4 linked regions of the Struthio camelus genome follow. The protein of the gene in region 1 interacts with the protein of each later gene in a pairwise test. Links are inferred from orthologs where the notes say so. Each region holds a gene or a part of one and is shown in the gene's direction. Other genes may lie near its edges.

The links.
Region 2: the proteins of DVL3 (region 1) and TNFAIP8L1 interact in binary tests that used the Homo sapiens proteins (3 or more experiments, as listed by UniProt). The two-hybrid records come from large-scale screens. The link is inferred for Struthio camelus from reciprocal best matches to the Homo sapiens genes DVL3 and TNFAIP8L1.
Region 3: the proteins of DVL3 (region 1) and CSNK1D interact in binary tests that used the Homo sapiens proteins (3 or more experiments, as listed by UniProt). The two-hybrid records come from large-scale screens. The link is inferred for Struthio camelus from reciprocal best matches to the Homo sapiens genes DVL3 and CSNK1D.
Region 4: the proteins of DVL3 (region 1) and PITX1 interact in binary tests that used the Homo sapiens proteins (3 or more experiments, as listed by UniProt). The two-hybrid records come from large-scale screens. The link is inferred for Struthio camelus from reciprocal best matches to the Homo sapiens genes DVL3 and PITX1.

Annotation. Positions count from the first base shown.
Region 1 is NC_090950.1:22,511,119-22,518,016, forward strand, and holds the start of DVL3 (segment polarity protein dishevelled homolog DVL-3), read left to right. Parts: upstream 1-3,886; 5' UTR 3,887-3,971; coding exon 3,972-4,138; intron 4,139-6,898. UniProt on the Homo sapiens protein: Involved in the signal transduction pathway mediated by multiple Wnt genes.
Region 2 is NC_090967.1:4,560,495-4,567,955, forward strand, and holds the start of TNFAIP8L1 (tumor necrosis factor alpha-induced protein 8-like protein 1), read left to right. Parts: upstream 1-4,443; 5' UTR 4,444-4,780; coding exon 4,781-5,078; intron 5,079-7,164; exon of another isoform or gene 7,165-7,304; intron 7,305-7,461. UniProt on the Homo sapiens protein: Acts as a negative regulator of mTOR activity.
Region 3 is NC_090960.1:59,298-66,414, forward strand, and holds the start of CSNK1D (casein kinase I), read left to right. Parts: upstream 1-4,098; 5' UTR 4,099-4,513; coding exon 4,514-4,589; intron 4,590-7,117. UniProt on the Homo sapiens protein: Essential serine/threonine-protein kinase that regulates diverse cellular growth and survival processes including Wnt signaling, DNA repair and circadian rhythms. It can phosphorylate a large number of proteins.
Region 4 is NC_090954.1:4,282,899-4,290,736, reverse strand, and holds the start of PITX1 (pituitary homeobox 1), read left to right. Parts: upstream 1-4,819; 5' UTR 4,820-4,910; coding exon 4,911-5,447; intron 5,448-7,838. UniProt on the Homo sapiens protein: Sequence-specific transcription factor that binds gene promoters and activates their transcription. May play a role in the development of anterior structures, and in particular, the brain and facies and in specifying the identity or structure of hindlimb.

The DNA of each region.
Region 1 (6,898 bases):
GCTTTTATTGATAGGGGGTTGTATGTTGAATGTGCTGACCTTGCCTCTGCCCCTTCAGAAGGAGCATAGAATAAATCCCTTGGGGGAAATGCACTGGAGCTGCCCACTCAGGATATTTACTTGGCCGTTCCGTGGTGCCACAGTTGTCAGTGAGGGGACAATGTTGGATGCTGGAGGCCAGGGATACTGCCTCTTAAACTGATGTTCAGGCAAGAGCGATCTTGTGCACTCACAGTATCAGTTGCCAGGATTGTTCGTAAATGCGCTTGTTTTCTGACATCGCAAACTCAGTCTTGTAAATGTTGGGGAATTGGTTGGTATCTGAATTTTCTGTATCTGCCAATATTTAATTCAGGGAGCAAATAAAAACTATCCTGGTGTTAGTGGCTTGTCTGCCTTGTTTGAGCTTGAATTGTATGTCTCCAGTTGTGGCATATGCCTGAGCAGGGCTTACGGGTAAGCTAAATAACACATAGCTGCTTTTCTCTTGAGAGATTTCAAGCACGTAATAGGCAGGTAGGAAATCAACACCCCATTGAATTGTCATAAGTGCTCAATGGTAGCTCATGACCTCACCATCTACAAATAGAGAACAATTTGCTGAACTTCAGAATCCTGAAGTGGCTGAGGTTTGTTTTTGTACAGGGTTATGTTACAAAGATGAACCTTAAATCCTATGAAACCTGCTATCCTTTGGCATGATGAGAATTAGTGGGAATGTTGGCTTGTGTGTGCTGCACCATGCCCTCCTGGTGATGGAGAGTAAGAACTGGTGGAGAGGGGGAAGGGCAGCTGCAAAGCTCTTTTAAAAATTCCTGAGTCTCACAGCTGGTTTATAAATGCTTTTAAAATCTCCCCAGACATCTTAGGTATTTTTTTGCTTTTACAATATAAAGCTGGTTTAAAAAAAAAATCAGATTAAGCTGTTTAGGAAAAAAAAAAAAAGGTTTAAGCTGTAATTCCATAAATGGCTTGTTTTAGTGAGAGGCTCTTGATTCTTTGTGCCAAGTAATAATTCCACTTTTGTGTCTTCCATGTTCCTGACTCCTTTGCTTCATAGTGGCCAACTTGTTCATGATGTGAGCCACTTTCTTACCCAGAGGTTGAGATCAAGGGTCGAATGGTACCCTATAGCCAAAAACCCTTATCCTTCAGGACTTAGCCTCCACCACATACACAATACTATTTTATAGGTGCTGAGACTCCATTAGCGAAAAAGGACTGTTCCAAGTAGAATACTCGATATTCCCCAAGATGGAGTTCTGGCATAGTGCAGCATCCATGTTTTTAAAGGGCGGGTAAGTGTATACCTTTTTAAAGAAGCACTGGTTGCTTAAGCGTAGGGTGGGCTTGATGCTTTCTGTTGCTTTCGATCAAAAGTTATATTTGGCTGGAACAGCAGAAATGCCTTTGGGAGCAACCTTGACTGTGCAGTCCTTATTATCTGTCTTTTTGAGCGATGTAAGTAGATTCATTCTTTGCAGTTTTTTGTTTTGTTTTGTTTTTCCCCCCTAAGGCCAAGAACTGTCAGAGTAGTCACCTTGTCTGACATCCCATCTAACAGGGATGGATGGATTTCACCTGGTGGTTCCTGTAGCAAGCCCATAACTTCAGCTGAACAATAGTGTGTCTTTATTTAAAAAAAAAAAAAAAAAACCATTGCTTAAAGGTAAAAGGGATGGAAGTCAAGTACGTCCATCTCTGCATCAGGCTGTTCTGAGCAAGTTTCCAGGCATTAAAATGCCTGGAGCCCATTTACGCTGTAAGGAGAAGCAGTGCTTATCAGTGCTGTGACTTTCAAATGTAGATATAAGCCAACAGGCTGTTGAGAAACTGTTCCTTGTGGACCTAGACTTCTCAGCCTGGTCCCCTACTGCTAATTTCTCTGGCGCTGTGTTCTTTACCTCCATTCATTAAGAGTGAGTCATACTTCACAAGACTTCTGCAAGCAGTTAAATCAATCTATCAGCTGAGTGTATTCAATCACTTGGCCTGTTTAAAAGAAAAAGGGCAGCTGTAATAATGCCCTTGTTACCGATGCAAGTGTGGGATTTGGTCTCCTACAGCTCTATGGGTGTGTGGCACCCCTCCTTTTACCTTGTGGCTGTATGTGGTCCCTTGTGAGCTCAACGCTTCAGAAAATTGTCCTTTTGGCAACAGAGATGTCTAACGTATCTGACAGAGGCTCTGGGGCGCAGCCGCAACTGTGCTCAGGAGCTGCAAAAGGGGACAAGAGAGCAGCCCTGGCGCTTAGCAAGGGAAAAGTGCTAGTATTTCACATGGGCCTAGCTTTTGTGACAGGGAGGTGTTGCAAAAGGACCTTTACATTAGTTCTCTGTCAAGTCCCAGGGCACTGGCCTGCAAGCTAGCATTGCAGCAACTACCTAGGTATCTAGACAGGGTGAGCAGGGCCTCCTGCAGCAAATTCCCTTTACTCTGGCAAACAGCATCCCAGTTAGAGAAGCAATGGTTCTGCTGTGGCCCTGAATATTAAGTTAAGGACCCCCTAAACCTTGGAGGACAGCTATAGAAATTGACATAGCAAGAGACAGGTTAAATTAAATCCTTCCATTCCTGACCTGGATTCTTCTTTCCAAGTACACCATTTTTTTTTTTTTACTATGGAGCTCTGAGCATGAGAAAGTGACACTCTTCCAAGAGCCAGTGTGGAAATATGAGCGGTCCTCAAGCCTGTTAGAATTTCTGCTTACCTGAGGTCTTTTCTTGATACTTTTTTTTAATGTCAGATTCTTGACCCCATCCACCACTGCTACCCAGATGATTGCTGGCAACACCTACAGGGCTCTTTCATGCATGAGGCGGCTCACACCTGCCTGCCATGGAGGTTGGCCTTGCTCCCTGTAAGCTCTCTCTGCCCTTCCTCTTACCCCAGGTGAGTCTGGCTCCAAGGGCTGCTGGTGGGGGCCTACAGGTGGTTCTTCCTCTACCTTTGCTGTTCCTGCCAAACCAGGTCAGTGTGAGGCTGTTCCTGCCCTGCCTGGTGGCGAGCGTTTCCCAAGCTCCATCCAGCCCCGGCTTTGCTCCCAGCTGCAGCTCCAGGAAACCGCTGCTGGAGACCTGTCCCTCAGTGCGCTGTGGGATGCTGGTGGGGTGTCCAGAGGGGAAGCCAGCTAGCCAGCCCAAGATTGCTGGGATGCAAGTCCTTGGCGTTAGGCTCACAGGCCTTGATGACTGCGGGTAGGAGAGCACTAGGGTTTGGGGAGCAGTGTGTGCCATGAGAGAGACGATGGCAAGAAACCCATGGAGCCAAGGGGCTTTCAGAGCAGATATTGCACGGTCAAAGAGGCTGCGCTATGTGGAAAAAAGGATGCTTGCGAAGAGCAGAGTAGGGAGAGACGTGATGGCGCTGGGAGAGCTGCCTCGTGAGGGAACTGAGGCTGGGGAAACTTGAAGGGGCACTGCAGTGCCTGATGTCTGAGGATCAGGGAAGGGCACGGCGCGGCGATAAGGGGCAGGGGAAGTAGCGGGATCCTCCTGTGCCCTGTACGCCGTAAGCGGGCGTCCAGGGCTCGGAGGGTCGCGTCCCGCTCCGGGGGCACCCCCGGGTGCGGGCCCAGCCCGGGGTGCCGGGTGGCGTCCCGGTTCGGCTCGGCTCAGCTCGGGGCCCATCTCGGGACGCCGCTTCGAGCCCGCGGCGTGCCGGTTCCGGTTCCGGCGGGGCGGCGGGCGGGCGGGCGGGAGGCCGGGGGAGGAGGAGCCGCCGGAGCCCGAGCTTGCGCTCTGGAGCCGGGCGGCGCTGGGCCCCGCAGAACAAGGGGCGCGGGGCGGCGGGCGCGGGGCCGGGCCGGGCCGGGGCCGCAGCCGGGCCGGGGCGCGGGGCCGGGCCGGGAGCCGCGGCGGGGCCGGGCCGAGGCCTGAGGCGGCGGCGGCGGCCGGGGGGTCGCGGGCCGGGGCTAGGGCCGGGGGCGGAGGAGGAGGAGGAGGAGGCCTGGCGGCCGGGCAGGGGCGCCATGGCGGCCGCCGAGACGAAGATCATTTACCACCTGGACGAGCAGGAGACGCCGTACCTGGTGAAGCTGCCGATCCCGGCCGAGCGCGTCACGCTGGGCGACTTCAAGGGCCTCCTCAACCGGCCCAACTACAAGTTCTACTTCAAGTCCATGGACGACGACTTCGGGTGAGCGCGGCCGAGCCCGCGGCCCCGGCGGGGGGCGGCTGCCGCAGGAGCCCGGCTGCGGGGACCCCCCCCCGCCCTCCCCCCCCGGGGCCCGGCTGAGGGGCTCCGCGGTGCCCCCCTGCGAGGGAGGCTGGGGTTTGGGATTAGCTTCCCTTTCCACGTGCCCCATGTTGGAAGGGAAGCCCGTCCCCCCCCCCCCCACCCCGCGCATGGGGTCTGGGGGCAGCTCTCTTCCTTCTCCCCTCCATATAGTTGTCTGTGGGGGCTGGTGCCCCCCCTCCCCATACGCCATCTTTGTGACTAGCAGCCCCCTTGTGCCCTGTCTAGGGAGGGAGCCCCCACGCGCACCCAGCTACTGTTGCTGTATCTTTGTGGGGACTGGTGGCGGTGCCCCCTCTGGGGCCAGCAGCCCTCCTTGTGCCGGGTGTGGGGAGGGGGCCCTCATGTGCACCCTGCCTGAGGGCAGTAAACCCCCCCCGTTGCCTCGTCTCTGGGGGGACTGGTGATGGTTCCCCCCCCCCATGCACCTCCCCTGGGGTTGATAGCCCCTTCCTGCTGCATCTGGGGAGAGGCCCCCCTCTAAGTGCACTGTTGGGGGGGAAGCTGCTCCTCTAATTTGCCTGTGGAGGACTGGAAGCAGTATTCTCCATTTCATCTTCTGTGGGGCTGGAACCCCCATGTACCCTGTCTGAGGGCAGCTAGGGAACAGCATCGTGCTGTGCACCCCATCTGGGGATCCCCCTGCTCACTGTGTGCGGGACAGCCCCTTGTCTGAGAGCATACCTCATGGTGCACCCCACCTTGGAGGTATGTAGCAGTGGCATCCCCCTGTGTGTCCTACTGGGGATTGTCATTCCCCCTGTACGCCCTATCTAAAGGGCCTGGGTATCTCCTGTTGTGCCTGTCTGGGGACAGTGCCCTTTGCACCCTTTGTGGTGGAGAGAACAAGGCAGTGCTCCCTCCATAAACCCTGTGCAGGGAGGGGATTAGGAGAAGTTTTGTTCTGGTATCTCTATTTTGGGGAGTGCAAATGGCAGCTTCTTTCTCCCCACCTCATCCTTAGGAAGGATGTATAAAAGGAACTAGCTTTCTCCTTCCCTATCTCTGTGCAAAGTGGATGAGAGCTCCCCACATGTACCCCATCTCTGAGAGGAGGGTGCGTACAGGGATAGGATGTCCTCTGCTTGATGTCTGGGATGGGTCTGTATGGAAGAGGTGAGCAGTCCTGCCTCGCATCCTGTATCATCTGGGGCAGTTCTCCTTCAACATCCTTATTTTCATTGCTTCTTTGTGGCAATGTTTGGCTCCTTCCATCATGCGTGATTGTTTGGAGGTGAGGAGTTGCTCTCTGTTTCTTGTTTGGAGGATTGTACAGACTGATTTTCCGAGGAGCCTCTGCTGTCTCCCACCTGTGTGAAGTCAGCATCTGTTCTGGGGAACGAGTCCCAAATGAACTCAATTTAACGTAGAACCCTTTGTCCCTGCTCTGTTTTGCCCAGGGTCGTCTTCCTACGTCTGACTCTTCTCCAGCTCTTTTCAGGAGCTCCAGTTCTGTCTTGGGAACGTAGCTCCTCTTGGCTTCCACAGCATGTGACCCTTCACCATTCCTAGCACTTTGGTATTTGACAGAGTTGCATGATCCTTCTTCCTCTGGGTTTTTTTCCCCTCATAAGATTTAGTGTTTACAGTAGGTCTTGTGTATGGAGGCTGGGCCTGCAAAAGGCTTTCAGTTTTATAGTCTTCCTAGTGTCTTCCTATTGCAGCCAAATACCTCCCTAGGCTGTGATCTTGGCTCGTTCTGAAAGTTAAACAGGGCTGGGCCTGTTCAGTGCTTGGATGGAAATCCGTGTGGCTGCCTCAGTAGGGGGTGCTCACCCCTTTGCAGCCAACTTATCTCAGTGCCCAGGTTCCTGTTAGCTCTGGAGGTGCCAGCTTTCAGATGAGGCTTGAAATTAGGAGTTATTCCTTTGACCACAGTCTGGGACGCTTTGCCTCCTTAAATTCCTCCTGAACCAGAGAAGAGCTTGAGTGCTCAAAAAAGCTTTCCCGTTCTCTCCAGGCAAATAGAAGTCTACAGCCCTCATTTTCCATAAATTTCCTCTGCAATATCAGTTGTCTGCTGTTCATTTCCTGTCCCTCAGCTGTTGAGTAGCGTTGGGCGCTATGAAACAGCTGCCTCTTGCTGTCTTGGAGGAGACCGTGTTTCATTGGTGGGTTAGTCAAATTCTCCGTGCGTGCTGTTTGTAAACAAATGCTTTTGGGATCCTTTGAAATAGTTGTTCTTGAAGGGAATTCGAACTTGTCTTGAATGAAACATTGCCATGTGGGTGGGAGAGTGTCTGTGTAACTATAAACAAAGTTTAGTAATAAATAGCAGCGTCTTGAGTTGTGAAGAGGGGTCTGGTGGCAGCAAAGTTCTGCATTGTGCCTTTTTATCCTCTTCTGTTTCTTTAAGGCTCCACAAGAGGAGGCAGATGGTAGATTAATGACACTCAAAGATAAAGCAGTGCAGGGAGTTATTGTGAGTACCAGTTGGGAGAGAGAAATCATTCAGGAAGACCCAGTGAGGTTAGATGTGGCAGGAATGTATGAGATGAGATTCTGTTAGGACAAACTTAACTAATTCCTCTGGGACAAATTAGCGACTCTGGAAGAGAAGGTGAACGTAGTCTACCGCCTGTATCTGGAAGGCCTTTTAAGCCCTGAGGCCGCGTGTGGGGAACCTTTTCCTTGGTGAAGCCCTGTATGATGAATTATCTA
Region 2 (7,461 bases), on another chromosome or scaffold:
GGGGGGACAAAGCCTGGAAAGGGTGAGAGCGGGCGCCCCGTGGGAAACGCGGTAGGGACCCCCGCAGCCCCGACGGCGGGGGCCGAGGCGGCACCCACCCGAGCCCCCCCCCGACCCGGACCCCGCGCGTGGAGCGGGAGTGGGGGGGGGGGGGGGGGATGTCCCGGCCACACCGCCTTGGGGACCCCCCCCCCCCCCTCCGGCCGCCGCAGACCCAGCTCCCATTGGCTGCTTCGTAGCAAGCCCCGCGCTGCCATTGGCAGGCGCCGCCCGGCCGGCACCGCCCCCTGCCCCGATGTCTCCGACTTCTGCCCCGCTCCGATACTTTGTAGCAGCCGCGGGCGGGGGGGGGGTGGGGGGAGCCGGAGGCACCGGCACCGGCACCGGCACCGGCACCGGCACCGGGCACCGGCACCGGGCACCGGCACCAGCCCGGCCCAGCCCTTCCCCTCTCTTTTCTCCCCGCCTTTGCGATCCCGCCCCCCCCTCGCCCCGTCCCGTCGCCTCTGGCCGCCCCCGGCACTGGAGGACGCCTGGCCCGGTTCGGCCCGGTTCGGCCCGGTTCGGCCCGGTTCGGCCCGCAGCGCCGCCCCCGCGGCGCAGGGCGCAGGTAAGGGCTGCGCGGCGGCGGCGGCGGCGGCGGCGGCGGCGGCGGGGGGGGGGCTGGCGCTCCGGGTGGGCGGGCGGCGGGGGCGCTCGGAGCCCGGCTGCCAGCGCCGAGGCCCGGCCGGCCGCGCCTCCGGCCCCTCGCTCCCCGCCGGCGGCCGCGCCGGCCTGACTTCCGAGGCCGGGAGCAGCCGCTCCGGCTTCCCCCTCGGAAGGGAGAGCATCCCCGTCTCCGCATCTTTGTGTCCTTGGGGTGCAGGCTGGGGCTGGGGTCTCGGCGGCCTCAGCACCCAGGCATCTCCCCCGCGCAGGGGGTACAAGGCGGGGGGTCTTCTGGCCACCCAACCCGCCGCTCTTGCCACGAGACTTGGCCGCTTCTTTAGAGGGGCGGCGGGTGGCCCACCGCCTGGCCCTCTCCTCCTGCCCGAGTTGAGGCGGCAGCGGTCAAGCCGCTGTCCGAGAAACCAGGAGGCCCCGACCCGTCTGCGCCTGGCCGGCTGGGTGCCCCGGACGCCTGGGTCCGGGCACGGCGCGCACAGCGACGCACGTGCTGTGCCCACGCTGGGGCGTCTTCTCCTTGCCGCTCGGGAGGAGAGGAGAGGGGCTGGGGGACCTCTAAGAACCAGAGGTGCTAGGGAGGAGGAGACGGGGATGACCAAGGATTCAGAAAGCACCAAGAGGCTGAAGCTCTTTGGTGGGCTGAGCCCTGGGCTGGTGCTCGGCAGCTCCTGGCTCCGCTTTCCGGCTGGGCCTCCTGGGGGTCACGCGCGGGAGAACGGCAAACCGGCTCGGATGGAGAGGGGGGTTATTACGTTTCCCGTAAAGGGGAACCGCCACCTCTTGTCTCCTTTCCATCTCACGATAATTATGGTCGGGAGCTTTTGTTTTCGCTCTTGGGGAAGCCGAGGAGGGGTGTGAAGCGGAAAGTGGCAACTCGCGGGCTGACAACAGGATGTGTTTTTGTGCACCACACCTAACTGGCCTGCGGAGAGCATCGGCCGCGGGAAGTCGTCGAGGGCGAGAGCTCTGCGGCTCCCAGCTCCGCCGAATAAACAGCGGAGCCGGCGGCACGGCTGACGGGAGTTTCGAAAGGTGGTCTCCAGGCCTCTCTCCGGAGAGGAGGCGCGAGGGCTCCGCTCCGTCGACCTGCCCGAGGCCCCGTCCTTGCAGCTCCCGTCGCCGGGGGCAGGACTTGGCTCCGGTGCGCCGCCGGCCTGTCCCACGCGTGCTCGTTCCTTGGTGCCTAAACTCCCAGGAGCGCTCCGTTTCCCTCGCGCGTTCAAGGGCTCTGTGTTTCAAACGACTGAACTTCTGCAACCCCCGAGATACGAATCCCCTTGGGCTGATGGGGAAACTGAGGCGGGGGGGGGGATCTCCCCAAAAGGACTGCTCGATAAGCCGATGGCAAGGCTGGGTATAAAACTTGCCTTTGCTGACTCCCGCTAGCCAAAGCTCTAGCGGCTTCAGAGCAGACGGAGAGGTTTGGGGAGGAAGGACCGGAGCCATAAAAGTTATTTATTGACTTGAAAGGTGGCGGCGGGTGGCAGGGATGGGGACCTCGCCGCGCTAGGCGCAGCAGGACCGTCCCCGTCCGCATTAGAGCTGCGGTCGGCGAAATGTTTCCTTGCTCTCCGAGCGGCTTTGTCCGGCAGCCGCAGCTCCCTCGGCAGGAAGCGTGTGATGTGCCGCTCGGCCGAGGTCCCCGGCGCTGGGAAGCAGGATGGAGCGAGGTCTGGCCTCCCTTTCGCCCTCCGCTCCCCCGTCGAAGCGCTGCCTCCTCCTGAGCCAAGGCGAAAGGAAGTCGCTGCAGGGGAGAACTGTCGATCCCGACCCGATAAGAGGAGGAGGAAACAGAAGGCGAGACACACGCTCCAAAATAGCTCCGCTCGCCCTCCTCCCCGCGGCGCGGCCGGGCCGGCCGGCTGCAAGCTGGGATGCTCCGGCTCCTGCGGCGCGGGAAGGGCGATCCCGCGAGGTTCCCGCCGCAGCTCGGCCCTCTCCCCTCTTCCCAGACGCGAGCAGGGGGAACGTCCAGGGCCTCGCAGCGGGCCCGGTATCCTCTCCATCAGCAGACGACGCCGGGCCGCGCTCTCCTCCTCCGGGCTGCCTGCCGACAGCCCCCGTTCCCACCAAGCGGGATGCTGGGGGCCGCCACGGGAGCCCCCCGGAGCGGCCGGCCCCCTTCCCTGCGCAGGGGCCTCGGAGCTGCCGGGGCAGAGCACCGGTCCCAGGCTTTGGTTCAGCTCCGCGTGGGATTTTTTTCTTTTTTTTAAATTTGGACCGAGTCGGATAGTCAGCAGGCCCGGCAGGCTTATCGGCGGCGCTGGCTTCGTTACGAAGGAGAAACCCTACCGGCTGTTTCGGGCGGCTTCTGGTTTCCACCCCGCTGCGTGGGCTGGCTGCCTGCGCGCCTGGGTGCGGCGAGGGGCTGGCAGGGCCGGCAGCCGTGCAATGAGTTGGCAAGGCCTCATCCCTACCAGCTCTTCGCTCCGGGCTGTCACGGCTCCGTTAAATCCCGCCGGCGGCAGCCAGCCCAAAGCGCCCGGCGCTCGCGGGGCAGGGGGGGTGCGCGGCGGAGGAGAGCCGACGTCGCGGGGCTGGTACAGGCGCTCGTTCCCGGAGCGTTTCTGCCTATCGAGGTGCCCGAACGCAGCCCCGCTGCGGTAACCCAACCCAGCAGCAGGGTTTAATTAATTAATACTTATTGGCTAGTGGGGCACACGGCGCTGCAAAGCGATCCTGGAGGGGGAGAGCCAGGGACGGAGGGCAGAGGAGCGGTCTCAGCCTCGGATGGCGCTCTCGAGCCGAGCCGCGCGTCTCCCTGCGGCTTTGGCGGCGGGGGGGAACTCGTTGCAGCGCGGGATGGAGCCGGGCGAAACGCGGGGGCTTGAGGGGTTGCGTTAACCCGGCCGTAACGAGGAGGAGGAGGAGGAGGCGGCGGTGGAGGCGCCAAGCCGTTCCCCTCGCGCTGCGCGCTTGCTGTGCGCTGGCCCATACATTATTTAAGTGCTTCTGTGTTCCTGCATGAAATATTCAGCCGGCTGCCAGGGGAGCTGGGTGTTGGGGGGGGCTGGAGAAACGCTGCCCGTTAGCCGGTAATTGGGACCTGGAAACGCGGGAGAGCCGGGGGAAGGCGACCGGCGGGGAGGCAGCTCCGGGCAGGAGGCAGAAACGACCCATCGCGGCTGGCGGGGCCGGGACGCGCCGCTCGATGCCCGCGGCCGCTGGCGAGATGACAGGGTTTCACGTTCCCCCCCCCCCCCCCCGCCTTTGTAGACAGCGCCTTTAATTGATGCTTTCTAACGAGCGGGCCGGATCCTGCTCGGGCTCGCAGCAGCAACGGCGGCCGGCGCCTCCTCCCGCTTCCCCCTCCGCGGCGGACGGGGCGGGGGGGGGGATCGGTGTCCCCGCGGCGGGGACCCGTCGGGCGTTCGATGAGCTGCTGTCGCGCAGCGGAGCTGCAGCCCCGGGTGCCGGCCTGGCGGCAGGGGCCGAATCCGGACCGGGACGCGTAGGTGCAAACAGTGCTGAAGGCAGAGGGCAGCCGGGGCGCTGGTGACGCGGCCGGCTTTGTCCCTCTGCTCCTTTCACCTCCGTCCGAGCGGCTCTCGGCCGTCTCCGCCGAGCTGCGGCCAAAGCGAACCCGCAGGCGGGATGCTGCTCGCCGGGTGATGGCCGCTGCGTGCCGGAAAGGGAAGCGGGATGTGCAGGGCTCTGCCAGGCTCAGGGCTGAGCGCCGGGCCCTGGCCAAGCCTCCCATCATCGCTGCAGGTCTCGCCTCCGAGACCCTTGTTCTTCTTGCTAGGGCTGGGATTCCTGGAAAACAGGTGGGGAGAAACCAAAAGACGCGGCTGCGACGGCGCGCGAAGCCTCGGTTCAGGGGCTGCGGCCCCGTCGCCGGCCCGGCCGCACCGCGCTCTTCCGGAGCTGCGACGCACTCATTGCACAACGGCGCTGGGCTGCTGGAAGAGGCTGGTTTTTGAGGACGTTTTTCATTAAAGAGGAGAAGGGAAAAAAAAAAAAAAGAAAACCCCAAAAAAACAAAAACTGAGGTCGGCTGGAAACTTCAGCGACAGGAAGGAAATCTGGTGGTTTATTTCAGGCGCGAGCCTGCTCTTTGGGGCAAAGCTGCCTCTTCCGGGCGCTGATAACGGCGGCAGCCCCTCGGCAAACAATGAGGCCAGGAGGGGCCGCGGGCCGGCAGGGCCTTTCCCGGCAGGAAGACGTCTCGGTCCCATGGAAATCTCCCGTTCTGCGTGAAAACAGCAGCATCTGGCCGTTGGGAAGAGCAGAGCGTGGCGGGGAGGGCGCTGGGTGCAGGGCAAGCGGGATCCAGCGCCCTGGGAGGCGAGCTTTTCGATTCCCGCTTACTTTCCCAGCCCGCTGGAGAGAGAATGAGCGAAAACTGGGAGCGAACAAGCTGCAAAAGAGCCCACGGAGGGGCGAGAGCGGGAACAGATTGCATCCGCCCGGTCTGGATTCTCCCCTGGGGAAAAGCCTCCCCCCCGTGCCTCAGTTTCCCCCCTCTGATGCCCATCTCGGGCCAGGCGTGCAGGGGAGAGCCTGTTATCGTGGTTGCTAATGGGGCGCCGCGGGTGCGGAGGGCAGCTAGGAGAAGCTGGTATTTCCTAGGTTTTTACAGGCTCCGTGGGTGAAGTTTGCGCTCGGTTTAGGGCTGCGGTTGCCCAACAGAGAGCTCAGGCGTGGGAATTTCTATTTTTACGGGCGCTGCTGGCTGCAGGGGAGCCCAGGGCACCTGCAAGGCAGGACCGGGGCCGGGCCACGCTGCGGCCGCTGCCCGCGGAGATGCTCCTAGGGCGCGAAGGCAGCGGCAAAGCCCTGCTTTCGGGCAGAGCCGGGGGGACCGGCCGCTCGTCCCCAGGGCAGAGCGCATCTTGGGTCACGGCTGCCCGTGCGCGACGTGGTTCGTCTCCTGCCGCCAGCGCCGGCGTCTCGCTCGGCCGCGGCTCCGAGCGCCGGCATCGCGGCTGGTCCCCGGCACACGGCAACTTCTCGGCCTCGGGGTTCCTGTCCGTAGAGGAAAAAAAGGTTCGGCGTGAGCAGGGAGAGCTGCAGGGCTGGGAAATTCCCCTCTTCTCCGGCGGGGAGAGAAACTTCGGACGTGGCGAGCGATGCAGAGCCGCCTTCGCCGGCGACGCTGCCTCGCGCCCTCCTGCCCGTTCCTCCGCGCCCGTCTCCGACGGCGTCTCCCCCGCGGGTCCGTCGGGCAGAAAATGAGCCCGGCCCGCCAGGGAGCCGCCTGCGGCTCTGCACAAGCAGCCTTTGCTTTGTCATCTCTGTATTATTAAGCGCGAGAACCTCAGCTCAAAGCTCATGCTGGCAAAAATCAATGTTTTCACATAGAAGGAAATAGTTACAAACTTTGGTGTTTTTCCTAAGGGCTGTAAATAACGCCACACGCGGCAGCTTGCACGGTGCCATTTTCAATGGCTCCGTTACCGCTCGCTTAATTTATATCCTCGCGCGGCCTCGGCCGCCTTCCCGTCCTCGTGCTCTTTGGCAGGGGCTCGGCGCCGGCGGCAGGAAGGCACCTGGGAAGCCGGAGCCCGGCTCGGCCCCCTGCACGGCCGCCCGCTGCTCGGCCGCGTCCCGGGGCACACGAAGGCGCTGCCGTCGTGTTGCCTCGAGGTGTTTCCCGCGTCCTGCGGGGCTGGCAGGAGCTCGGTGGCTGCCTTCTCCTGGGTCCCACCAGATGGTCCTTTTCGGGGATGCTCTTTCGAAGCCCTCTCCCTCCCGCGGCTGCTCGCGGGCTCACTTGCGCTCACCAGGAACCCTCCTCTCCTCTCCAGCCCGAGCGCGTTCAGGGCCGATTTACCCCCATCCGCTCTCACGCGAGCAACGTCCTTTAGCGTAAATAGCTCTTCTCCCTCCCCGGTGATGTATTTATAGAGCCATCGCATCCCTTCTCCGCTCTCGCTTTGCCAGGCTGGCCGCGCCACGTGCAGCTACTTGCATAAGCAACCTGCGTCTCTGCCCATCCATCCTAGCGCGGGAGCTGGTTGGTATCATGCTGCTCTTACATCGCTGTGATTTGTAGCACAGCGATTTCCAGGGGCAGGACATATCTCCAGGGCCAGCGGCGTTTTAGTCATTCGCATCAGTTTTTAAAGCCGTAATCTGCCCAAGCGGATTGATTTGTCTACGCGAGTCGCGCCCGGGGCCTGTAACTCGGTCTCTAGGTGAGCAGGGCTCGGAGAGCTCTGACTCGCGGCGTTTTTCACCTCCGAGACAGGCTGCCGAGCGCCGCCGGCGCTTTCGCAACGCGCGCGCGGGCCGCGGCTTTGAGGAAGTCGAGCCGGTCGCAGAACCAGTCCGGGCTCCGACTGCGTGGGCGGCGTACCCGGGGCGGGCAGAGCCGGAGACAAGGGCTTTGAAGCGGCGGGGCACAAAAGCGAGCAGCGGGAGCGCGCCGCTTCGGTGGGCGCCCGAGGAGCGGCGACGCCGGTGGCCGCTGCTCCAGCCCCGGCGGGAGCTGGGCCGCCCGCGTCCTTCCCAGCTGCGGCGGGTGATTCATAGCTCCCCACCTGCGTCGTCCTCGTCTTGCCCTGCAGGAAATGAGTCAGGTTTTAAGGAAGATGCCTTACAACGATGGGGTGAGAGCCCTTCCTGCATAGGTAGGGCCGCAACACCGGCGGCAGGAGGAAAGGCAGGATACGGGGCTCGTGAGCCTTTCTAAGGTAGGGAGCCTTCTCTTACCTCTAACGTTGCACCTGCGTTCGACAGCGGGCACCCCGTCCCTCTGGCCAGCCCGTCGCACTGTAGTTTTTCCCAGAATTCAGGGGAAAAAAGCCAGGAACAGCCTAGAAATCATCCTCCGAGGAGAGCCTGGGCCTG
Region 3 (7,117 bases), on another chromosome or scaffold:
GGGAGAGGGGAGAGAAGAGAGGAATGAAAAGGGAAAGGGATACAGAGGCAGTCAAAGGGATGGGGTGGGGTGGGGGGAAGAGAGGAATGGAAAGGGAAGAAGGGTTTGAGAGGCAAAGGGATGGAGAGAGAAAGAGAGGGATGGGGAGCCAGATGGAGGGGAGAGGAAGACAGTGATAGTGAGCTGGGCAGGGGGATGGAAACAAGGAGGAGAGGAATGAAGACCCAGACAGATGGACAGGGAGCTGGACAGAGGGACAGAAAGAGAGGGATGGAGGGCCACACAGATGGACAAAGGGATGGACAGAGGGATGGGGAGCAGGAGAAGAGGGATATCGAGGTGAACAGCGGTACAGAACAAGGAAAAGTGGGAAGGGGTGCCAGATAGAAGGATGGAGCAAAGACAAGACGGTTGGGGAGACAGACTGAGGGAGAGAGTGATAGGGTGGAAAAGAGAGGTGAACAGAACAGCAGCACGGCAAGAGAATAAGAAGGATGGGGAGCCAGAGAGAGTTACAGGGCACCAAACAAAAGGGCTGGGAGTGAAGGAGGGGAGGGGGGGAGACAGGGAGCTGGACAGTGACAGGGAGAGGAAGAAAAGGTGGAGAGTTGGATTTGGGTCATTTGGGCATTAGGAGGAGCTTTGGGCAGGGTTTTTGGAGTATTTGGGGTCTGTGGGGTCACCACAGTCACACTGCGGGCAGCAAGAGGGACCCCAATACAGCATGAGCTACGTTGACATCCAGCAGTGCCAGCAATGGAGCCGAGCGGGTTTTGGGCTGCCTGGCCAGGCCTTGCTGTTTCCCTTAATGGAATCTAACATCATTTGCATTAATTGAGAATAAATTGCAGTCAAGGGCTAGCTTGTGCTTATCTTACTGGGATGGGAACATGGAGTGCTGTGACTCTACAAAACTCAAACAGGAGACTGAGTCTGGCCAGGACAGTGAGAGACATGGGATGCTTTCTCACTACTGCAGACTAACAGACAGCAGGAGTGGCCTGGATTACACACCCACAGCCCTGTGCCTGAGTCACCGACTCAGCAAAGAGGTGTTTGATGTTACTTGAGCCACAACAGGAATCAACAGGATTCTCCCTCTGCTGCTGATCGCCTCTGCCAAGCGTCATCCAGTCTTTGGCACCTGTAACATTGAACAAGACACACAATTAAGACCTTCAGCCTGCTCTGCCATACGTGTATTCTCCAGTAAAACTGTATGTTTGGAATTTCCCCATCGCTATCCAGTTATTTGCATAACAAAATGTCACTCAGTTACATACAAGACTTTAATATTTCTTCTATGCATCTGTCTTCCTGCTTCTCCAATTACAACTCCCAAGTAATTAACCTGGGGTGGCAGTAATTGTGTCTTATTCAAATTGAACTTTTACAACTTTTCTCACGCTTCTTCTGTAGCTCCAGTCACAGGAATATAACTCAGTCAAGACCCCACACAGCAGTCTGTAGAACCAACAGCTTACATCACAACCCTGTTTCACCTTAATGGACACTCACTTTGTTCTTTCACACAGACAGGTACCAGCTGATCCTAGCTGATCCTGCTACTGGAAAAAAACAAACTCAGAAATCACTTCATTCTGCACAGTAAGCCTCTTCCCTCAACCAATTCTTGCCCCCTAGATTTTTCTGGCCTTTGCATTAGCATCTCTTGCCGATAACTCCACCCTTTGGCCCATTCTTCCCACGCAAACATCCTCACTCCCGAGAAACAAGCTCCTTTCTGTCCATATTCCCTGCCATGCCTCCCATGCAGCTTCCCACACTTTGCTGAACTCATCCCAGGGTTTCCAACAGAGTCACTGTTCCCTCAATATACCCACAAGCACACTGGTGAAAATCAGGGGCACAACCTGGAAACTCCATCAGTCAGCTGTGACCGACAGTTCTACTCCTATCTTCAGCTCGCCTCCTACTGCAAAAGAAACAAGGCCAAGACTGGAGGAAAAAAAGACATTTCTTTAATGCATTACATACAGCCTCCTGTCCATTTCCATTTCCATACTAGCACCGCAGCTTCCTCCGCATGCACAAAGTTGTTTACCTAAGCAGGAACCAACGCAGCTTGCATTTTCATGAACACAAGTAGAGCCCCTTGCCTCTGCCATTGCGCCCTAAACCTTCACTGCCTTATGTAACTTGACGCGACCCAAGCAATTCACAATTCACACCTCAACCTGTACATGTGCTTCATTACCCCAACTAACAGAGCTCTGTTTCCTTCCCTGTCTCTGGTTGTCGGCCTCACTTGACCTGACTGCATATGTGCTTCTGCTACTAGTTCTGCCCAGACAGTCAGGACACCCGTAATGCCAAGGGCACACAGAGTGCTCCCCGATGCGTACAACAAGAAGGGCACTACTCTGCTTTTATCCGTTCTAGCACGTACCACACAGCATAGTTTTTCCTCTTGGCGTAGGACGTCGCGGGGAACCACGATCATCTCAGCACTGCCACGGGCCAAAACCCAGAGATCCCATGCATGATAGAGAGACGGCTCAGTAAAAAGATTCCTTCTAGTTTTGAGTCTGCAGTGTTCTACAAGCACTCCCTGAGCAAAACTGACACGTACTTGCACATGATTTCCATAGGCACTAACCACCTTGTTCTTCCTATCAGGGAATAAAAAACGCTCATTTTTTTCTCCGTATTATCTCCATATTTCTCCATAGCACATTATCCCAGCTGCCCTCACCTAGCCCTAACCTTCACCTGCTCACAACCCAGCCATCCTATGAGGCCATGCTCCCTTTCCACCGCACATGACAGGACAATCCCCAGGTCACCCAGATGACTCTCTGTGACAACACATCCTGACTAGAAACCAATTGTTCTGGTATTCGATCATTCTCTATGAAGCAGGACCCAGACTTTGCTCGTGCAGGGAAAGGCACCGTATACTCTGCCCTGCAACTGATGAGGCAAGATGGTGCCGAGAGCTGCCTAATGCATGCATCCTCTGACTCTACTGCTCACTGTGCACTTACACTGCAGGCTCTTAACAACTAAAACACAGGTAGCCATCTAGACTAGTCCTGCTGCTCAGCTCCACTTCTCATCTCTGAGCAGCATACTGCAGCTCTTGCTAGACAGGCAGCTGCAGCTTAGGCCTGGCACACAACTCAGGCATCACTGCCCACGCAGTTGGGACCTGCCGCACCACCCAGGCAGAATGAACCCAAAAACCCTGCAATTCAGTAATATTAGTGGCAGGAAGCAAGTGTCTCCAAGATACAGGCTTTACAGTTTGCTCAGTTACAGGAGAGGGAAAAATTCTCCCTTGCCATTGCACATGGACAGTATATGAAACAACTGTAGTAGGTAGTCAGAGGCAGTCAGAGACTCTTTGCCAAGAAACCTACTAACCGTTACTTTCCATCCCTCTGCCACCCCACACCTCCAGCACATACACCATCCTTAGCACTCCCAGTGCTCTTACATCACAGTCCACTGTCATCTGCAGCCCAGCCATGCTCATTCAGCAGCCCCTGTGCTCACACCAGGGGCTGGCTTCACAGTCTATCTCTTCACTTGCAAATGCAGCTCCCTAGGTGCCATCAGACAAGGCTACTTCTTGATTCATCCAATTTAATAGGACCACTGGCCAGTCAAAAGCAGTGCTTTCAAGCAGCATTGCTGCAAGAAAACGAGAAAATAGGCCTACAGAAACACACTCTCCCACCACTCGTCTCCCACACCCGCACAGACACAGGTGGTTCTCCCCACTCAAGTCACCCTCTACCCCCCAGAAGGCCACAGAAGTGGTCCAGACACTGTTCACAAGCAGGGATGACTCAGATCGCCGTTTCACCACTGAAGTTGGCAGGGCCTGATGGACATGACTCAGACTTTGCTCTAGACACCGCACAGTCACACCAATACTCCTCGGAACCCAGTTCAGCACAGCCGGACTGCCACCTCCACCGCAGAGCCTCCCACGTCTTTACGGAAGAGGGACGCGGCAGGCCGCGGGCCGCTCCCTCCGTCCGGCACGGCCCGACGCAGGCCGCTGGGGCGGGGCGGCCGGCCCAGGGCGCGGCGCGATGCGATGCGGCGCGATGCGGCAGCAGCCAGTGGCGCCGCGAAAGACTCCCCGCGAAGGGGCCTCACGGCCGGCAGCGGCGGCCGAAAACAGCGCGGCAAAGACGCAGGGGGACACGTGACGCGGGCCGGCACCCGCGCGGCACGGCTCCTCGCGCGCGGCGGCGCCTCCGCCCTGCCTGCGGGCGCGCCCCACCCCCGTTGCTAGGGAAGTGAGGTCACGCAGTATGGCGGCTCTGGGCCGCAGGGGCTGAGGTGTCGGGGCTGTGGGGAATCCGCGTCCATCCTCCGGCGGAGCTGCGGCGCTGGTGCCGCCTGCCTCGCCACTGTCGCGCGGCGGGACCAAGGCCGCGATGGCATCAGGAACCGTAGGGCTGTGAGCCGGCAGAGCGCGAGCCGGTAGGGTGGACAGGGCAACCGGGCAGGATCGCGGACGGAGCGAGCTGCCGCTATGGAGCTGCGGGTCGGGAACCGGTACCGGCTGGGCCGGAAGATCGGGAGCGGTTCCTTTGGGGACATCTACCTGGGTAAGGAGGGCTTACCCGGGACATACTTGGCGGGTCTGTCGCTCTGTGGAGAGCTGCGTGAGCCGGGCCGGGCCGGGCCGGGCGCTGCTCGAGCTCCCGCCTGCACCCTGCCCCCCGCTGAGGTTGGGTCGGGGGCTGCTCCCGGGACCTCATTTCATTCTCGCTGGAGCACAGACCAAAAAATGCCTTTCGATATGAGGTACCTTGCCGCTGGTGCAGTAATAACTTAATTTTTCGTTGGCGTCATGTCCTAATTTAGACAGTGCGGAAATCGGGACTTCTGGATTATATGCCTGCCTCTTCCCATTGTTGTCTTGTGACCTTGGGCACCGTCAACCTGCTCATCTGTAAAACGTGGATAAGGATATCAATCCCTTCATCTGAAAAACCATTCAGAAAAATGTTTTGAAATAGAAACGTGACCCTCTGCAATAAATATAATTGCAGTGGACTAGGAGAAATTGCTGTCACAGGGAGGATTATGGTTTTCCAGTGAGGCCTAAACAAATGAGATAACTAAGGATGACTAGATTGGAGCTAAAAACATTTTAACCCCTTCATAGAATCAGCATAGTTCAGCTATCCTGTTGCTTGAATGTTGCCCTTACATCTTAATGCATACATCTTATTCTGCTACCGTGATTTCTATGTGACTGTAAAGTTTGCAGGACTAGGACTGTCTTTTCCTGTCTGTTTTTGTAGCTTTCCATCCTAGTGGTTCACTAACCATTTGATAAGCAGCGGTGTGTACAACAAGTTCTGAAACGTGTGTTTTTAAAACACTCCGTTCTACAAACCATCAAACCTTAGGAAGTCAGGTAAATCCAGACAAATGTAAATTTTATATACTGCCACATGAAAGTGAGCATTTTGCTTTTGAAAGTTGTGATAACTTTCAGAAGGCGCATCCAAAGACATGGAAAAAGACTTACAGGAGCCATGGTAGGTTATCTGCATATGTCTGGAGGGTAAAAAGAATTAGTCACTGGCTAATGCATGTAGTATATTAGGCAGTATACCTAGTACATGAGCTGTCTTTTTTTTTTTTTTTTCTAGACAACAGTGCTTTGTATTGCAGCACACAGTTGCCGTTCTGAAATAACGTTAGTGAAAGCTACTTGTTTACGTTACCCAGATACTGGTTATCCTTGATATAGAACATATGCCTGCTGGAAATTCTGTGTTTCTAGCAGAAAGCTTGTGGATTGTCTAGAGGCAGAGAACATCATTCTTTCTCTCTCTAAGGCTTATGTAAAAGACTGAAGACTGCTGTGAGAACAATGGTGATAAGGCTTATGCAAAATCTTTGTTGGCTACCTTTAGGGTTTTGGGTGGAGATTAAGACAACAGTTAAAATCTGAAAAATCTTAGCTGACCTGGGATACTCTTACCTCAGTTTTTGACTACTCAGGTAAATCCAGTCACATTTAAGTACGGTATATTCATACTTTAATTTGTAATCCAAATTAACTGATAAAAAGAAATCAGGCAACTCTGTTGTTACTGTCCTGTGTGCGGTAGCTAGATTGGAAACGATAGATATTTTGTTTGTCACTTTTATCTTCATGCGTAGAGCCTACACTAGAAAAATTGCACAGGAGATAATAGTTCTGTATTTATTAGTACAGAGCTACTGCCATACTGCATTTTGCACAAGAATTGCTCATCCTTAGATTTTATCCTCTTTGATCTCTGAGGAGTCAGTGTGGATTTGCTTTCGGGGCTTCCTGCAAATGTGATGATTGAGTCAGCAACTAGTAGAGAATTATGTGTCTGAGAGATCCAGCTAATAGTATATATTTCTTTTTCCAGGGGTAATTGCTGTTTCAAGAACTGAAATGTGGCAGTCTTTTATAGAGGCCCATTTTGTTTGCTTAACATAATCTATTAAAACAGAGGTTATTTTTAAAATCTGTGCTGTGTGTGATATGAAACATTTAAAACAAAAAAAAAATAAAGTTTACTCAGTTATTCAAACTGTACAGTAGGGCATAACTACATTAAAATAACTTTTTAAAGCCTCTCAGTTCTCATTAATTTTCTGAAGTACAAATGATTTCCAATATTCCTCATCAGATTTCAGGTTCCCAATTTAATTTTATGCTTAATTCCCCCCCCCCCCCGCCATTTTCCAGTCTTCCTGTAGTTTCTTTAATGAAGTTACAGGGGGTTGAAGACAGTCCATTGAGAAGAGACGGCTCTTTCTTTATGTCTTTTCTTTCAAATATAGAGCTAACCATTCCTGATTATCACACTTCTTTCATAATCTTTCCCATTCTCCCCTGCACCTCAAAATGTGTCTTCCGGAATTTGGAATGCCCCCTAATTGGTAGGGTCCTACCATTCTACCACAATAATCTTAGGCACTATTTTAAATACAAGAATAGACAAACCTAGTGAAAATAAAATTTAGGAATGTAATGTACCTGCATCTATTAAGATTACCCTCCAGTGGAAGATATGAAAGAGTAGCACGAATTACTAGAAATTCTAAATAGTACGAAACAAGGGGCACCATACAGAAAAAA
Region 4 (7,838 bases), on another chromosome or scaffold:
AACCGAGCAGAGAAAATAAAGAGAAAAAGGTCCTTTCACTAGGAAGAGTTACACCCAGGGTCCTTCCCCCACCCCGGCAGCACCCCCGCCGGGACCCCGGGCCGGCCCTGCCCGCGCAGGGCGCAGCGCAGCGCAGCGCGCGTCGGCGCGGCCGCCTCCGCCGAGGCGAGTGGAGCGCGGAGCGCGGCCCGGGAGCCGGCGCGTTTCCCACGAGCGTCTGCGCCTCCGCATGGCGCTTCGTGTTTTCCCCACGGGGGCTGATATTTTTTTTTCCTTCTGCCGTGGCGGAAAGCTCCGAGGCCAAGCAATTTCTTTGAGTTTTTCCACCTCCCAAAACATCGAGGTGTTTCCTTAGCGTCCGGGAAGGGCCCCAAAGGCCAGCGATAATCACGGCCTGCGCGCAGCACTCTGGGCACCTGGAGACCTGCCCTGCTTTAACCCCCCTGGGCGGGACAACGGCCGATCCCAAATGTCACCGGGTTTGGCGGCTTTTCTTTCCAAAGGGCCGCCCCACACCTGGCCGTGCAAAACAGGGCACGCTCGGATCATTGCAACGGGACAAGGCCCCGGAGCCACCGCCGGGCCGGGAGCGGGCAGCTCCGGACCGACGGCCCCGCCGACGCCGCCCCGGGCCCGGCGCGCTCGGGCTCGCATGGGCTGCCCAAATCCGGGGGGGGAGAAGCGGGTTTCTCCCGAGCCCTTCCTTACGGATTGCCCCGGCCTCCGTGCTTGAAAAGCCTCCCAGGGCCGGAGAGCCGCAAACACCCCTCCGGAGGGTCACCGGGAGTTCGCTGCGGGAGGAAAATTATTTGTTATTAATAACGTGCTGAAAGATGATGTGATGGGAGCGCTCGCGCTGCAGTTGTTGCTCAGGCACAAATCTCGGCGGGCCTCTGCGAGCGGGGCACGGCGGAAGGGCCGGCCAGGGCAGAGTTCCTAACTATTTTTATTATTAATCCGTCAGTGAATATATATATATGTGTGTATGTATATGTATGTATATGTATACGTATGAAAAATAAAAACTGTTCACACACAAAACCCAGGAGGCGTCCGGAAAAGAAATTCCCTCAAGGTTGGAGGAATGTGCTCTCCGCGGGATTAAAACTCGCGGCTGGGTCGCCCTGCGGCGGGGCGGGCCGCGGCGCTGCGCGGGGCGCGTTAGCTGGCCTGCGAGGCGCGCATCCCCGCGCAGCCGGGCTCCCACGAGGCTGGGCAGGCGGGGTGCCCATGGAGATACCATGCTGCGCAGGGGCGCAAACTGCGCGCCGCTGCCCCGCCGCTCTGGACAGGCCCCGGGGCGGAGGAGGGAGGGTTCGCGCGAGTGCGGGACCTGCCGTCGAGGCTGGCGCAGTCGCCTAGCGTGGGGGAGGGAGGGCTGGCACTGCGCGGGGGCGGGCAAGCGGGTAACCCCCCTCCGCGCTCCTCCGCGCCCCACTACGCACAGCACTCGGGAGCGGGGGGGGGGCCGCCTCCTCGAGGAAAAATACCCCAGCAGGCCGGGGGGAGGGGGGGGGCTGTGCGGTCTGTCGCCCCCCAGGCTGGCGGCGGGCGGGGACTGCCCGAGCTGCTCCCCGCAAAGCCGGGAAGAGTTTTTTACCTTCCCATTCGTTTCTGAAATATTTTTTTAAAAATCGCTGAGTTTGGGACAGGCTAGGGGTGGGGAGGGCGGGGACCCTCTGGGCAGAAGGACCGGCGCCTGCACGCCGGGCAGGGCGGCGGGGCAGGGCGGGTGCCCGCCGGGGGGCCGCGGGCCGCGGCGCGGCCGCGCAAAGGCGCGCACATCGGCGGGGAGCGCGGAGGCAGGTCCGCCCGCGGCCGGGCTGGGCGAGCGCTAGATGGAGTGATGCATTAGCGAGACGGGGAGGTTTTAACCTTCAGGGGGAGGAGCCCCGTTTAACTACAGGCATTTGTTCTAGGGCAGGTCACTTTAATCTCTTTAGCTTTAAACTGTCCAACTCGCAACTCGCGTTTCTCTATAAGGGATCTTTACCACTTTCCTGCCTATGCGGCCGGACTGCCGTGCCTCTCCTCGAGCAAAGACAACCAGCTTCGAGGCATTGCCCAGATCTCTTCTTCTGAAACCCTTAAAATAATACTGTTAGTAATAAGTGGATTTGCTTTTGTTTTTGTTGTTTTTTTTTTCTTAAAACAAAACCAAAAAAAAAGCTCCTTGTTCCTTTCTGTGTGGAATAAACACCTGCAAAATCCCCCAGGCAGCCCGGCGCCCCTGCCATGGATTCCTTTAAAGGTGGAATGAATTTGGAGAGACTGCCCGAGAGCTTGAGACCCCAACCCTCCCATGACATGGCTTCCAGCTTCCATTTGCAAAGATCCTCGGAGCCCAGGGACCCGATCGAGAACTCGGCCAGTGAATCCTCCGACGCGGAGGTGCCAGGTAACCCGCGGCCCGGCCCGCGCCCCCCGCCCGCCGCGGCTCCGCCGGCCGCCCGGCCCGCACCGCTGCCCCGCGGCGCCGGGGGGGCAGCAGCCACCGGCTCTTTCCCTAATGAGCGCAATTAATTGGAGGCGAAGTGGAGGGGGGAGGGGGGGCGCGGGCAGCAGCCGCCTCCGCCGGGCCCCGCGCTGACAGCCGCGGAGCCGAGACACATGGCTACGCGCCCCAGCCCAGGAGCGGCTTTTTTTTTTTTTTTTTTAACAGATATTAATTGATCGGAGAGAAGGGAAAGGCGGGGGGCTCTTCGGGGAGCGCGGTTTTGCCGGATGTTTCTGAAATAATGTCAGCTTTTGCCCGGGTTTATTTTCCAGCTCGGGTGGTGCAGACATGTAAAAAGATCTCTCTGTCAAAGGAGGGGGGAGGAAAAAAAAAAATGTCCCGCCGAGGAAGAGAGGCGGCGCAGGGCCGCGGCGGGCCGGCGCAAGCAGCGCGGCCGGCCGCGGAGGGATGTGCGCGGCCGCAGCGCGGCGGGGAGCGCAGGGGGCTCCTGGCGGGGCCGCGGGCTCTCCGAGGGCTCCCGCACTCCCGATCGACGCGTGCAATTATTGCAGGGAAAGCTGTGGTTTCCCAGTTTGTATTTCATTAGAGCAGCAACATTTCTAGGATGACAAAGCAGGCTGCGAGCAGGAAACAAAAGCTGAAGGAAAGAGCGTGAAGTCTGTTCTCCGCCGTGTCTCTTGCAGGAGACGCTTATATGTCATGCCATTTTATTTTTTTATAGTTGTTGTTGTTCTCAGTTTTAGCAGGTCCTATAATCTCTAGAGTGGCCGCGGCACGAGTCAATCCCAAAGTGGCACACGGTGATAAACAGGGTCTGGTTTGTGCCTGCCCGTCTGATTCGCAAACAAAGTTAGGGAGCGCTCAGCCCGGAGTCTGGAAGGGACTCCGAGATTAGAGAGGATTATTTGAGATTAGAGAGGGAGATTTGCTCCATTTTGCCGTACCCCTATATGTGACCCCTCAGTGCTGGAGGAGGGCTAAGGACCTGCCTACTTTTCTACTCCGAGAAGTTACAAAATACTTTTCACATTTTCTTTTCCTTTTTTTTTCTTGATGGAAGAAAGGAAACAAATGCCAATCAAATCTAATGTGTGTAATGATTTGAAATTGTACCAGAGCCCTGCTCGGTGGCTCGATTTTTAATGAAATCATGGCTGGGCTAAATCCGGAGAGAGGTTTGCAGTCGCCTGGATGGATCACCGCTGCCGCTGCAATGGTTTTTCCTGGGTTTCGCCGAGCCCTTCCCAGCCAAAAGAGAGAGAGGAAGGGGAGGGGGGGAAGGGGTCCCGAGCAGTATTTGTGTTTTCCGTGAACACCTTCGGTTTCTGTTTCCGCGGCCCTGGCCGCGGGGCCGTGCGGGCTCGGCCGGTCCAGCCGGCCGCAAGGCCGGGGCCGGCGGGGCAGCATCTGGACATCAGGGAAATCCTAATGGGGTTTCTCTTGCAGGCCTTGTTTGCTCTGCAAACCACTTACTGCAGATAGAGGCCATCCGGGCGGCAATAAGCCCATTTACCACTTTGGGGTTTCCATTTAAGCGTTTGAGCTCGCTCTCTCTCCCTTTTATTACGGAGGGTTCCCAGGCAAAGGCCGATTAATGGGTGACTTTGCAAGGACGAGCCCGCCGCGCCGGCCGCCGAGCGGGGTTTGCGTGCGGCCCGCGGGTGTTTCAGGCTGCCGGTTACCTCGCAGGGGTCGCGGCTGCAGAAATGCCCCCGGGTCTGGCACCGCCGGCCGCGGAGCAGCGAAGGGGGCACAAGCCGAGGCGGCGGAGCCGGCCGGGCGCTTGCGAGACAGGCGTGCGCGGCGCGCTCTGCTCCCGCGGAGTTTCACTTCTGCTGCAGGCCCAGCCGGGCCGAGCCGGGCCGAGCCGAGCCGAGCCGAGCCGGACCGGGCCTGGGCCGCCACCAGCCCCAGAAACCCGCGGCCGGGGCCGCACCTTTCCGCGCTTCAGCCGCCGCCGGGCCCAGGCCGGAGAGTGTATTTAGTTCAGGCCTTTCAGTCCCTTTCCGGGCGTCTAAACCGGGCCAAATCTGAGATTTTGGGTGAGGAGTGCTGGAAGGGCTTTTACGAAATGAGTGAGGGTTTTTTGCCCCCGTTGCTGTGGGGTCGGGCCTGGATTCCTGCCTCCAGTCCTTGCAAATCTCGATCACTAAAATGCGGCTGGGCTTTTTTGATTTAGCTCTTTCGATACGTTTTTTTGCGGAGGACTACGCTCAGCTTCGGGTTAAAATAAACACTAAAATCCTAAAAGCAAACCAAAAAAAAAAAAGTGGAGGAGTAGAGAGGCAGAGAGAGAGGGTGCCTTTTGCAATCAATTACTGCTGGGTTTTGCGCCCCTGCCCTTCCAAAGTTTCCTGTCGCGGCCGAGCACAACAAAGACAATGGAGCAAAGATCGCGCCGTAGGTTTAAAGGAGGAAAAAAAAAAAAACTCGGGGAGGGGAAGAGAGGCCGATGCTGCAGGGGACCCGCTCCCTCCGGGGCGGCCCTCGCCCCTCGGGCCCTCTCCGAGCCGGGCAGCCCCCACGTCCCGCCGCCTCCCCGCCGGGCTCGGGCCGAGCAGGGCACCGCGCTCCTGCCGCGGCCGCGCCGGGAAACGCCGGGTCTCGCTGCGGGGCTGCGGGCGGCTGGCTGGCGGGGCCCCGCGTGGGCCCCCCCGCGTGTCCCTCCGGCGGGCCGGGCAGGGGGCTGCGGGCCTGCCTTTGTGTGTCTGTATTTCTGTTTGCAAAAACACAACCAAAACAAATCAAACCCAACCCCAACCCCAACCGACACCTCACCGCAGAAAAGGAGCGAAGCGGCGAGCAGAAAAGCGAGGACGGGGCCGCCGACGACCCGGCGAAGAAGAAGAAGCAGCGGCGGCAGCGGACCCACTTCACCAGCCAGCAGCTGCAGGAGCTGGAGGCCACTTTCCAGAGAAACCGCTACCCGGACATGAGCATGCGGGAGGAGATCGCCGTGTGGACAAACCTCACCGAGCCCCGAGTGCGGGTAAGAGGGGCGCGGGTGACCCCGCTCCGCGGCCGCGGGGTGCTGCGGGCGCCGCTGCGAGGACGCAGCGCGGAGGCAGCTGCCGGCGCGGAGCATCGCGGGGGAGATCGGCCCTTTCGGGAGCGCGGGGCCGGCGGGGGTCTTGCGAGCAACGCTGGGCCGATGTGGGGTTTATTTTAATTGCAAAACTTCGGGTCTCGGCCGAAGGAGGGGAGACCCTTCGCCCGGCCGCGGGGATGCCGCCCGGAGCCGGGCCTGGGGAGCCGGAGGGGCACCGCGGCGAGGCCGGCCACGCCGGGGGCTCCGCCACATCATAGCCATGGTCATAATGATAATAATAATATTTCAATAAACTGCTGCTTCACGCACTTTTGGCCGTTGCGTCGCGGCTCAGCTGCGCGGTCCCTGCGCGGCCCCATCCTCGAGGCCGGACGAGCTCTTCGCGCAGCGGCGGCGAAGCCCCCGCGGCCGCGCATCCTGCGCGCCCCGGGTCGGCCACCCCCAGGCCGGCAGGCCGGTTTGTTTGCCGATGCCGCCGATGGACAAACCGAAGGACAAGGGCCGGGCGGCGATTGCACTCCAAAGTCAATAAGCGTGGCGGACACATACTTGCAAGGCGAAGGTGCCTGGCCTGGCTCTGTCTGAGAGCCGATGCCACCTCGGAGCATGTGTAGCCACGGCAGTTGTTTGAAGAGGGAGGTTAACGTGCGCGGTATCTCCGCAGCGCACGGCCAGATCAGAGCCGCTCGGCCTGGATTGATCCTTAGACTTTCGGCCCGCCGTGCCTCGGCCGGCACGCTTTCCCCGCCTCCCCTTTGCTTTCCTCCCGGGATATTTCCGCGGGTGGTTTCGGGCATCGGCGGTCGCCCCGCGCCCGCCCGGGGCCCCGCGGAGGGCGCGCGGCTGCGGCCCGCGGGACCGGGGCGCGAGGAGACGGCGGGTCTCCAGCGCCCGCATACGAACTGCCGGGGAAAACGGAGGTGCGCGGAGCGCTGGCTGCCGGGCACAGCAAGGGAAAAGCTACTTTTGTCTTGGCAATTAAAAGGCGAGTGACCAAAGCAGATCGCGGAGATTGTGTTTTGAATCTCCCCGAAGTAAACAGCCGTTGCATCTGAAAGCATTGTCTTAATTGCATTTAAACAAAACAAAGCCAGGGAGAGGGCTAAACTGCGTTAATATTGCTGGAATACTTCAGGAAGCAAATAAAACTAATATACGAGTTGCCATTACCATTATTTCGTTCTCCCTCTGTATGGAGATGTTTTGGTTTGATGTTCCGAGATTGCAGCTTGCAAATCTAACCTTGATTTGCTTTGAGGGCCTTACTTTAAAATGTCTAGGAGCCATAATTAAAACTATTACCCTCATTTTCAGGAAATTCCTGTCTGGAAGCACCTTCCGAGGAGTGAATTACAGGTTTTGAACATGTTGGCTTTCGTTTCCTCTTCGTATTTATATGGGATTCTGTTTTCTTCTTATTATTTTTTTTTTCAATAGACCCCGCCATTCTTTCCCTCGAAGTTTCCAGCCCTGCGATCGGGGTTCACTAATAGTTGCGCCATCCCTGTGCCGGGAGGCGAGGCCCGAGGAGCGGCCCCGGGGCCGGCTCCGGCAGGCGGAGGGCGGGCGGGCGGCGCGGGCTGCGGGCGCGGGGAGCGCAGCCTCCGCGGGGCCGGGCGCACCGAGGGGCCCGGGGTCTGCGGGGGGATGCGGCAGCGCTGAGCCGCCGGGCACGGCGATGCTATTTTTTTTAACCTGGAAAGAGAATTGGGGGCTGCCCGGCGCGGGCGGCCCTTCCTGCCCCGGCTCACGGCTCCCATCACAGGGGACTCAAACAGTTTCCTAGGGCTAAAAGAAAAAGAAAAAGAAAAAGAAAAAGAAAAAGAAAAAGAAAAAGAAAAAGAAAAGAAATAGAGAGCCTGTATCAGGTTTTTGCATCAAACACCAGGAGCGGCCCCCGCTTCTCTGTTCCCTAGTCAGGGCTGTAAATTCTCATTAGATATAAAGGCAGAGGCTGCATCCATCCAAGGGCGATGCAGCGACTGATTTTTTTTTTTTAAACCTAAACATACTAATCCAATCCCCCTTTTTATGATCTGTAACAGGGGACTTTTATTACACGGCATTAGCATGGGGAAACACGGCGGAGCCGGGGCGAGCCGGCCCTAATCAGCACGGGCCGCGGCTGCGCCCCGCTCCTGCGCTCGGCGAAGGGGAGCGGAGGGGGCCGCTGCGCCCCGCGGGGAGCCGCGGCCAGCGGCGCGATGCGCACACGCGGCTCGGGGCAGCCCGCCGACAGCCAGCTGCTGCGCGCACAGCCGCAGCCGCGGAGGGATGCGCGCAGGGGCAGGGGTGCGCGCAGCGCCCTGGCACCCCGGGGCGGGGAGCTCA